Linked DNA regions of Diceros bicornis minor. The protein of the gene in region 3 interacts with the protein of the main gene of each other region in a pairwise test. Links are inferred from orthologs where the notes say so. Each region holds a gene or a part of one and is shown on either strand. Other genes may lie near its edges.

Evidence for each region.
Region 1: the proteins of PNMA1 (region 3) and MAB21L2 interact in binary tests that used the Homo sapiens proteins (3 or more experiments, as listed by UniProt). The two-hybrid records come from large-scale screens. The link is inferred for Diceros bicornis minor from reciprocal best matches to the Homo sapiens genes PNMA1 and MAB21L2.
Region 2: the proteins of PNMA1 (region 3) and RTP5 interact in binary tests that used the Homo sapiens proteins (3 or more experiments, as listed by UniProt). The two-hybrid records come from large-scale screens. The link is inferred for Diceros bicornis minor from reciprocal best matches to the Homo sapiens genes PNMA1 and RTP5.

The regions. Positions count from the first base shown.
Region 1 is NC_080750.1:39,056,509-39,060,255, forward strand, and holds MAB21L2 (protein mab-21-like 2), read left to right. Parts: upstream 1-1,505; 5' UTR 1,506-2,062; coding exon 2,063-3,142; 3' UTR 3,143-3,716; downstream 3,717-3,747. UniProt on the Homo sapiens protein: Required for several aspects of embryonic development including normal development of the eye.
Region 2 is NC_080776.1:28,597,059-28,600,805, reverse strand, and holds the start of RTP5 (receptor-transporting protein 5), read right to left. Parts: upstream 2,624-3,747; coding exon 2,472-2,623; intron 561-2,471; coding exon 1-560.
Region 3 is NC_080763.1:21,878,764-21,882,510, reverse strand, and holds the start of PNMA1 (paraneoplastic antigen Ma1), read left to right. Parts: upstream 1-1,302; 5' UTR 1,303-1,979; coding exon 1,980-3,041; 3' UTR 3,042-3,747.

The DNA.
Region 1 (3,747 bases), on a different chromosome or scaffold from region 3:
AAATTAGATTTACATTAACATTTTAAGAAAACTTTAACTCAGGTTCACATTTACCTCCCTTCATTTTTGTTAAGTTTAAAACAATTTTAGTGGCTTACTATAATTTAAAGGTATATCTAACAAAATTTTACCATATACAAATTTGCACCATTTCTCACAACTAAAACATATTTTCTAATAACTAGTTCTTGTAATAATAAGGTAATAGTATTAAATATATCTGAATGTTAATTATGAAGTAATTATCAAACAAAGTGCTTGCACTCTTTCTGCCCTGCCCTGTTTTTCAACAGCATATGGAAATTACTGAAAAGAGATTTATGGTCATAAACCCTCACCCCATAACCACTCCCTCCCCCCATACATGTATACAGCAATTGCTCTGGCTCTTGGCAACAATGGGAGGGGATGGGAAGAGAAGGGAGGAAGACTTTGCCAGAGGGGAAAATCTAGAAAAATTTAGGTCCTTTCCCAAATTCACCTTCCTCCTCCCATTTGCCTTCAAGCAAAAGTAATTCTGTTAGAGTTTGCACCTTCTTCACCATGTTGATAGGAAAAAAAAAAAAAAGTGAACCTTTCTGAACCACTGCTACTCTCCCTCGGTTACTCCAGCCATCTCCAGGAAGTCCCTTCTATATAGACTCTCTTTTTCTTCCTTGCAACTGATAAGAGAGGAGGATAAAGAAGAGGGGGCTGTAAAATGTGTGTGAGCATTTGACTTCTACTATCTCCTCCTATTTTCTTACTTCTCTCTTTACCCCCTTTCTTTATCAAGTGCAGCGGTGGCTGCTACCGTCTGCCAAGCATGCCTGTCTTCTCTCTCGGATTGGCTAAAGCACTGACAGCTCGGATAGCGATTGTAGGAACTGAAGCTCCACCCCCCTCATGATGGCACTGGACCATTCATAAACTAAATAACTCCAGGAAACAGCAAGGCAGAGAAAGAGAGAGAGAGAAAGTGGAAGAGGGGGGAGAAAGAGAAAGAGAGAAAGGGAGGGAGTAAAGGAGGGAGACGGAGGGAGAGACGGGAAGGGAGGGGGGAGAGAGAAAGAGAAAGGGAGAGAGATTAGGAGGAGAGAGAGAAAGAGAGAGACGTCGGAGGGGAGGTGGGAGAGACGACTCAGAAAGTCGAATCTGCACAAGCAACCTAAAGGGGGAGGAGAGGAAAAACCCTTGAATCGTTACAACTAAACCCCAGATGCAACGCAAGCAACGACTTCGTCACACTAAAACAGATTTTGTGAGGGCTAAAATTATAAATTACGAAGCAGAAATGAATATCAAACAACTTCCAGCGGTTTGCACCTAGAGAAAGACAAGAAGAACCCACTGCAAACAAACAAACCCAGTCCAAACAACGCCTCCAGTAGGAAAAGAGGAAAACTGCTACACCACGACCCCCTAAGCAGAAACCAGACCAACACGCTGAGAGTGCGGGGCATCTGCAAACCTCCGAGTGTGCGGTGAACTGAGTTGCACTTCGCTGCTCTCTGGACATTAATTACATCCTTCACCTTCCATTTGGGGGAGGGTGAGGAGAAAGGCACTCACCTACGCTTAGTGAAGAAGTCCTACCAGCGTGGGAGAGAAGTTTTAAGAATGAAACATCGAATGTTTCACTTTTATTTTTAAATTTACTTTGGCACTTAAAAGACCTAATTTCCAGATTTCTGGGCAATCTCGGCTGCAGACATCTAAGCGTAACCTGAATTTTTCTCTCACCCTTTTTTTCTCCTTCCCCTTCATCTCTCCCGCACATCTTTATTTTACATATCAAGAGAAAGCAAAAAAAAGTCTCAGCAGATATTTTTCTTTTTCAAAGATCACCTTTTCTCTTATTTTCTGGAGAACAAAAAACGGTTTCGAAAGCGGGGAAAGAAAGAGCAAGCCGGCTGGCTGTAGCATCAGCCGGTCAGCCCAGGTGGAAAACAAGAGTGAAAGTGGGGCTTAGGGGGAGCGCACCGCCTCGTCCGCCAGCCGCAGGGCCACCATCAGCGCGTGAGCCTTGGATCCCTCAACGTACTGCGAGACGCCGGTGTATAGCCCGGACCTTTGCCCCAACATGATCGCCGCCCAGGCCAAGCTGGTCTACCAGCTCAATAAATACTACACTGAGCGCTGCCAAGCGCGCAAGGCGGCCATCGCCAAGACCATCCGAGAGGTCTGTAAGGTGGTCTCGGACGTGCTAAAGGAAGTGGAGGTGCAGGAGCCTCGCTTCATCAGCTCCTTGAGCGAGATCGACGCCCGCTACGAGGGGCTGGAGGTCATCTCGCCCACAGAATTCGAGGTGGTGCTCTACCTAAACCAGATGGGCGTCTTCAACTTCGTGGACGACGGCTCGCTGCCCGGCTGCGCGGTGCTCAAACTGAGCGATGGGCGGAAGCGGAGCATGTCTCTCTGGGTCGAGTTCATCACAGCGTCCGGCTACCTCTCCGCGCGCAAGATCCGCTCACGTTTCCAGACGCTGGTGGCTCAGGCGGTGGACAAGTGCAGCTATCGGGATGTGGTCAAGATGATCGCAGATACCAGCGAGGTCAAGTTGCGCATCAGGGAGCGCTACGTGGTGCAAATCACTCCGGCGTTCAAGTGCACGGGTATCTGGCCTCGCAGTGCGGCACAGTGGCCTATGCCCCACATCCCCTGGCCTGGCCCCAATCGGGTGGCGGAGGTCAAGGCCGAAGGGTTCAACTTGCTCTCGAAGGAGTGCTACTCGCTGACCGGCAAGCAGAGCTCTGCGGAGAGCGACGCCTGGGTGCTACAGTTCGGGGAGGCTGAGAACCGCCTGCTAATGGGCGGCTGCCGAAACAAGTGTCTCTCGGTGCTGAAGACGCTGCGGGACCGCCACCTGGAGCTGCCAGGCCAGCCGCTCAATAACTACCACATGAAGACGCTGCTACTGTACGAATGCGAGAAACACCCGCGGGAAACGGACTGGGACGAGGCGTGCCTCGGCGATCGGCTCAACGGCATCCTGCTGCAGCTCATCTCCTGCCTGCAGTGCCGCCGCTGCCCTCACTACTTTCTGCCCAACCTCGACCTTTTTCAGGGCAAGCCCCATTCGGCCCTGGAGAGCGCTGCCAAGCAGACCTGGAGGTTGGCCAGGGAAATTCTCACCAATCCCAAAAGCCTGGACAAACTATAGGGTGCTGGGGACTGCTTGAAAAGCGACACAAACGGGAATGCTCTCAAATACACAACACAACACAACAACTCAGCGACAGAGTGGAAACTCCGGACACAAACTTTTATGTAAGCCACCTGAAACAGGAACCAGGCAGAAGACCTTCGTTAATTAACAAGCAAACAAAAAGAGAGCAAACCAACCACCAACCAGATTCTTGCACAAAAGTGATCGTTTTCTTCCAAACAATGTGAAATTAAAAGGTCACACAAAAGAAGCAATCGGGCTTTGCCACCACAAAATGAAACCCAAGGTACATTTTCAAATCAATGTATAGTAGTTTCTCCCTTTTTCCTTCTCTCCCTCTGTCCTTTCTCCCTCTCCTTCTCTCCTCCTCTCTTTCATTTCATTTTGGGTTGCCTGAATGTTGTCACCAAGTGAAAAAAAGTATTTAATTATATGTAAAATTTCTCTTTTAAAAAGTTTTGCTGATGTTAAGTGTATCTCAGTGCCAATGTCAGACTGTGTCCCTCCCTCCCTCGCACCTCTACCCTCACCCTAAGCAGTCTTGTTGAAAACAGTAATAAAAATATTACTTTACATTGTAATTGCCTGTTTGTGGATTG
Region 2 (3,747 bases), on a different chromosome or scaffold from region 3:
CAATGTCCTCGTCCTCGCTGAAGAAGTTGCTGCTCTCGGAGGGGTTCCTGATGAAGTCAGACACGGACAGGGGCGTGCAGATGGAGTTGGGGGTGTAGCCCCAGGAGCGCTCGCCCGAGGGGCTGCTGCGGAGCGTCAGTGACTGTTTCTCAGCAGTGACGGCCGAGCTGCTGCCGTACAAGGCATACCTGCCCTTGATGGGGATGGGGCTCTTGACCTCCGGCCCCCAAGCGGGGTCCGGGGGCTTCTGGAAGAAGCAGACCCCCAGGTCGCAGGCCTCGCAGCGCTCACTGAAGCAGATCTCAGGGCACTGGTCAGAGCTGAGGGTCTCCCGGTAGCACTTCTGCAGGATGAACAGGACCAGCTTGTTGAGGAAGAGCCGCACGTTCAGAAGGCTCACCTGGCAGTCCCGCTGGGCGCCCGGCGGGCACAGCCGGCACCGCTGGCCCCAGATGCGCATCTTCACCAGCCCCAGCCGGCTGTCCTCATCCCACCACATATGGAAGAGGATGTGCACGTGGGCCGAGGACCAGCCCCACTGGCAGCGGCCACACTGGAGCCTGCAGAGGAGAGAGAGGCAGTGAGCGGAGGGGAGGGGGCCGCCCTCCTGCTCCCCAGGAGGGCGAGGAGCGAGGCCCAGTGGAGTTCCATAACCCCGAGCCCCCATCTGCAAAGGGACAGATGCTGGCGCACACTGTGTCTGCAACCCATAATCTGAAGAGCTGAAAAGCAAGCACCTTTTCATCAGTTTGGCACAAAACCCACTCGGTGGCAGAGCCTGGCCTGACGCACGTGAGGGGTCACTCTGTGTTCGCTGCTGCAGCCGCTGCTTTTCTGTTCTTTTGTGACTCGGGGCATAATCGCCCTGAGGAAACGTCACGAAGAGGCAAAGGCAGGCCTGTGGATACCAGTCGGGGGGAGTAGCAGGTGGGGTGCTGCGGAGAGGACGTGGGGGCCCTGGAAAGAGGAGCCCTGCCCAAGGGAGAGAAGGTGACGGGGAGATAAATTCGGGGGCTCCCTGCCGCACGAGACTGGGTGATGGGGAGGTCTCGGGGGACAGAGAAGCAGTGAGGGCTGGAGAGTCCCCCTGCTGGGGTGCCGTCACGCTGACTTTGCACGTGGGAGCGAGAGCCGCACGCCTCCCCGCACTGAAGAGGAGCCACGTGCCGGTCCCTGGAGGATGACGGTGTGCGTGTCCCAGGCCCCGCAGGTGAGCGCCCTCTCTCCAAGGCTTGTGATCACTGTGGCACCTGCACACGTGTGTGGGGACCCGCATGCCTGGAGGTTTCATGGAGCGTTTCCCCGGGAAGCTGATCAGCGTCGGGGGAACTTTCCATGACAGTGGGATTGTTCTGTCTGCGCCCAGCCGGGAGCCACAAGTGGCAAGGAGCACCTGGACACAGGGAGTGCCCTGAGGAAGGGAACTTCCAGCTGTATTTACATTTAATCCACAAGCACATGGCAGGCCGCGTATGGCCAGCGGCTGCTGTGTTGGAGGACGTGGGTCTGTAGTACGTGGCCATCCACTGGCTGGCGTTTCTATCGGTGAAAACTGAAAACCAACTGAACAATCTTTCTGGTCCTCATCTCGACCCTGTGGAGTCCTTCAGTTTGGCCGTGGGAACAGTAAGGTGTTTGAAGGTGCTTCTCTGATGCACCGAGGACTGTCACTTCCTATCACCTGAGAAGGCCAGCCTTCCCCCGCACACCCGGCCCCCGGGGTTTCGGACGCTGGGAGCTGTGGCATCCGTGTCAAAGGGCAGCTGCCCACGGGGGCCCCACAGTGACCTGTCTTTGAGGTCCCCTTCCCCAGTCAGGTCCCGGGGACTGGGGACGCCTGGCTGGGTGGCTCCTGCAGGTCAGGCCTGTCCCCGTTGCAATGACGCCAGCTGTCGTCATGATGATGAAGAGTGAGGCTCACGTAGTGACCCGTGGCCACCGGAGCCCCCGAGCTGGGCCCCCACTCGCCCACAGCCCAGGCCGGGGACTGCTACCCCTCCTCTCGGGGCCTGCTCCCTGCATGTGTCTCTCAGCTTCCCGGTCCCTCAGGCCCCTGTGCAGCGCAGGGCAGGCAGTGACCGCGGGCGCCTGCCCATCCCCTGCTCCCATCAGCGCTGCCATGGAAACCAGAAGATGTGGCGGTGGCGGCCGCGTCACCCCCCAACTGCGGCAGGGCCCAGGCTGAGCTCGGTGGCCGGCACCGCAGGCAGGGTCTCAGCTCACCGGGCTGAAAGGGACTGAACAGGCGCTGTCCCTCCAACACCCCCACTTCCTGGGAGGGAGAAGGAGCACCCGCCAACCCACCTGTTGGGGCCAAGCCCAGGCCAGACACTCGCCCGCATCCCACCCCCCCAGGTGCTGGGCCACACCTAGCCTGGCCTCAGGACACGGGGCCAACCGAGGGCCAATGCTTAAGCAGCCTTCAGCCCCCTCCCCTCCTGGGACCCCAAGGAGGACCCCCACAGCCGCACCTCGAGAGCCCCCTCAGCCGGTACTGGAAACCGCTGCTGTCCAGGTGCCCCGAGGCCAGGTTCTCCTCAGGGAGCAGCTCCCAGGTGTCCTGGGGTTTCCTCTTGGTCATCAGTTGGGCTAAGGTGCTGGCCCACACGTCCACCCCGTCCATGCTGGCGCCAGGCTCTGCAGTGCGGTCTGAGGGCTGCACCAGCTCCCGGCTCCAAGGAAGCTCTTGCAACCAGCTCCACTGGCCAATCGCTGCCTTGACAACCATCCAGTCTCCATGACAACCAGGCTTGTCTCGGAGAAATGAGAAGCTGGCCTTTTTTCTTATCCTTCTGAATATTTTTTATTACGCAAGCAATATGTTTTCATTTTAGGAAAAATTAGAAACAAACAGATAAATAAAAAGGAAAAAAATACAATAGAATAAAATCGCCCATAATCATCGCAGTGGTGCTGACATCCACGCGTTTTTCTATGCACGTGTATGTGTAAATGTTCATATTCATTTTTCACAAACCGGAAACCCTCGGAACAACTTGTCCTAGAGCTGCGTTTCTTGCTCCACGGCGTGTCGTGGGCAGTGCGCTATCCTCACCACTTCGAACATCCGGGATCGTCCAGTCTACGGCTGTGCCGTAACCTGCTGGCCCTGCCTCTGTCCTTGAACTGCACGGTGCTAATTCTTTGCCGTTACAAACACGGCCGTGAGGAACTTTACTGAACATGTATCACTGTGAATTTTCCCACGGTTTCCATTTTTTTCCAAACTTTTTATTGGCTAGAAGTGTACAACATTTATGTAAAAATGCCTAAAACATAATGCACAGCTTCTCAAATTATCATGAAGTCTTAGTTCAGCACCTGAAGGAATCCAGCCCCCCAAAGCCCTCCACATGCCCCTCCCTGCGCTCAGCACGCCCTTCCCGCGGAGGCACCACCCGCCCACTGGGGCCCCTTCCAGCCCCACCACCCGAGGTGTGTCCCCACGCACGGTCGTTTCCTTTTATTGCTTGGAGCTTCCTGTAAAAGGAACCCTCTGTTACGCATTCTGTGTCTGTGCGGCTGGCTTCTCTCACCTTCTCGCCTTCTTGTTTGTGAAGCCACTTGTAGCAGCAGTTTGTCGGGGGCGAGAGGAAAAGGTGGACTGAGGAGAGAGCCAGCCAACGTTCCACGGCAGAGGGGGAAGGGCTGCCAGCCCAGGAGGGGAAGACGCCGGGTGAGAGCACGCGGATGAGAGACAAACGGAGAGCGCCTTTGGACGACCACCGCTGAGGACGCGGCCTTGGG
Region 3 (3,747 bases):
GTCCTCCCCATATTTTGCTGTGTTAATATTTGCCTCTAACTAACAATTTGCAGCTGTTTCACCTTTTCCTCATTTGTCTCTAAGTTGAAGGCCTTGTTGGAGGGGACAGCACAGGAACAGCCTTGACAGTCTGTAATTAGTGTACAAATATTTTAATAGCATATAAATAAGTATATTCCTTTTATTTTGAAAAAAATGATCAGACACTGCCTTTTGTGTGTTTGCTGCCTGTGGCACCCTTTTTTAAAGACTGTTACATATTAAAATAGTGTACATATATATAAATATTACCTCTTTTGCTGTACAGTTGTGATAGACCAGACTGAAGATTTTATTTTTTGTGTGCTTTTTATAAAAAAAAATTAATACACTAAAGAAAATCTTGCTGATGTGATTGTAATGTACCTATGTAACTTATTTACTTTTGAATGTTCTTCTGTATCTTTAAACCTTTTATTAAATAAGGTTTTAAAAATTCAGAGTTGAATGCTGTGTTCTTTGGGGAGATTTTCACCATCTGGGATTGATGTAGGTAGGCCTTGTTTTGCTTGCAGGGGATTACTCGACGTTTTTGAATTATAAGGATTCTGTTTTATTAGCCCATTGCCAATGATGCCAGGACAGAGGAAATAACACAGTAGCATCTGCCTGGCTGCAAAGATTACTGAATAGATACAGATCTTTTTATAAAATTTTAGACAAGAAAGTCTCAACTCAGTATCACACAAAAACATGTAAATGGCACACTTGCAACGTTTTCATTTCATTGGGATGAAATATGGAGGGTGCAGAGTGCGATCAGGTGGCACAGGGAAGCTGCGGTATTTTCACATGCCGCATTGACTGGCTGAATGAGTGACATGAGTAGACAAGTCTGCCTTGACGGATGCATTATCAACAATATCATCTTAAATCCACTCCAGAATTATATTATCTTTTAAACATGGTGCTTTGTAAAAAAAACTGGAAAATGAAAAACGAAATGCACCATCACAGAAACCAGTGCCCACAGCCGCTCGCTGGCACCATGGCAACCGCTCGACCCCTCCCCCCCACCCCCACCCCGCGGGCCGCCGCCAAGCGCAGAGCTCCAGTCGTCTGAGCCACCGTTGCCATGGCTACGCTCCGGCAGGCTCCGCCCCGGGGGCGGGGCGGGGCGGAAGCCGCTCAGGGGGCCGGCCCCGCCCTCCACTGCGGCAGTCCCGCCTCGGCTGGCCCCGGGTCTGACGAGTCCGTAGCCGAGCCGCGCCAGCCCGCGCGCACCGCCGCCCCTGTCCGCCTTCGCTTCCGCCACCTCTAGCCTTGCTTCTACGTCCTTCTCGCGCCTCCGCTGTGTCCTCGGTCCTCCGCGTCCTCGCCGCCCACAGGGGTTCCTGCACCCACGAAGAAGCCGCTCGCGGGCTGGCTCCGCGCCACCGCTGCACATCAGGACAGTCTCTCCCTCCGGAGGCGGCACAGTCCTCGCCTGCAAAGCCGCCGCTCCTCGCCCGCCTGAAAGCCCGGCTCCGACCGCGAACGCCTCATCGACTCCGGGAGCAGCAGCGAGTGCCCGGCGCCCCGGCTGCACAGAGGAGGCGGCCACGCCCCGCAACCACACCCCGGCGGCCTCTCCAGCCCCGCGCCTCCTGCCTTCGCCACCCACCCTCGCTCCGCGCCTTCTGCGCTGCGACACGACATCCTGCCTGCGGCCGGAGGACCCCGGCCGCGGACCCCGGCCAGAGACGCAAGATGGCGGCGGCTGAGTGACTGACTGACCGAGCATCCCCACGGCTTCGCTCCGAGAACGCGCCGACGCACTGGCTTTGGGGGGGCAGCGAGAGGACGAGAGCGGGACTCTGATGTCGTTTGTTGTGATTGCGTGAATCTTGCTTCCCGCGGGCATATTGGGGGAGAGTGTCTGCTGTTGTCCTAAGTCCTTGAGCAAGGGAGCCATAGTCGAATCCGTATTCCTAGCGTTAGGGTCCTTGATAGTTGGGAAAATGGCGGTGACACTGTTGGAAGACTGGTGCAGGGGAATGGATGTGAACTCCCAGAGAGCCCTGCTGGTCTGGGGGATCCCAGTGAACTGTGATGAGGCTGAAATCGAAGAGACCCTCCAGGCTGCGATGCCCCAGGTGCCCTATCGAGTGCTTGGGAGAATGTTCTGGAGGGAAGAGAATGCGAAAGCAGCCTTGTTAGAGCTCACTGGCGCTGTCGATTACGCCGCGATCCCCAGGGAGATGCCGGGTAAAGGAGGGGTCTGGAAAGTGGTCTTTAAGCCCCCGACTTCCGATGCTGAATTTTTAGAAAGGCTGCATCTCTTCCTAGCAAGAGAGGGGTGGACCGTGCAAGATGTTGCCCGTGTCCTTGGGTTTCAGAACCCCGCTCAGGCCCCAGGCCCAGATATGCCAGCGGAGATGCTGAATTATATTTTGGATAATGTTATTCAGCCTCTTGTTGAGTCCATATGGTACAAGAAGCTGACGCTGTTCTCAGGGAGGGACATCCCGGGGCCTGGGGAGGAAACCTTTGATCCTTGGCTGGAGCACACTAATGAGGTTATAGAGGAGTGGCAGGTGTCTGATGGCGAAAAGAGGCGGCGGTTGATGGAGAGTCTTAGAGGCCCCGCCGCTGATGTCATCCGCATCCTCAAGACTAACAATCCTGCGATAACCACCACCGAGTGCTTGAAGGCGCTTGAGCAGGTGTTTGGGAGCGTCGAGAGCTCTAGGGATGCGCAGGTCAGATTTCTGAACACTTACCAGAACCCGGGAGAAAAGTTATCTGCTTATGTCATTCGTCTGGAGCCTCTGCTGCAGAAGGTGGTGGAGAAGGGGGCCATAGATAAAGATAACGTGAACCAGGCCCGTCTGGAGCAGGTCATTGCCGGGGCCAACCACAGTGGGGCCATCCGAAGGCAGCTGTGGCTGACCGGGGCTGCGGAAGGGCCGGCCCCTAACCTCTTTCAGTTGCTGGTGCAGATCCGCGAGGAGGAGGCCAAGGAGGAGGAGGAGGAGGCTGAGGCCGCCCTCCTGCAGTTAGGCCTGGAGGGGCACTTCTGACTCCCAGGAAACCGGGTTTCAGTGCAGACCTGGATCACAGCTGCTTTCCTTGTCTCTGGGCTGTCTTACAGGTGTGTCTCTTAGTAGTAAAGACTCAGCCGTGTTCTGTTTTCTGGGGGGGAAGTCAGGTCTGCGTATTTATGTAACATTAGTAAAATTGTGCAAGCGAACACCCTGAGCTGCTACAAGTGAGTCATGCTAGCTATAATTCCAGGTAAAGGCTTGGACACAAGTGCTCAGTGCAAGCAGTCCTAGTAGCATCATCATCAGTTGTGAAAAACATGTGAACTTGTGACAGTTCCCATCGAGGTAATTAAATGTGAAATTGCATGTTCAGATGTTTAGCGTAGGGCCTGGCTAACACAAGAAGTGTTAAGTAAAAATGTGAACTGTTGTTACTAATATCGTGAATAGTTTTCGTGTTCACTGTAAATTGTTCCTGATTTATATTAATGGAAAGAAATGTGAATTAATTAGATATTATTCAACTTTATAGTGCAGATTTCTTATTTTTCATCTTTAAACATCTGAATCAGTTTGATTGAAAAGATTTCTGAGACTATAAAATGGGGTGTTAGAAAAATACTGCAATTATAGAGCTGTGTAAATCAGAATTTTTCACTGTTCAAGATACAGATATAAATTGCATGAACCAGTTACGGTATCCATTCCATTTCAAACCTTTGTCATTGAACAGTTCTCCTTG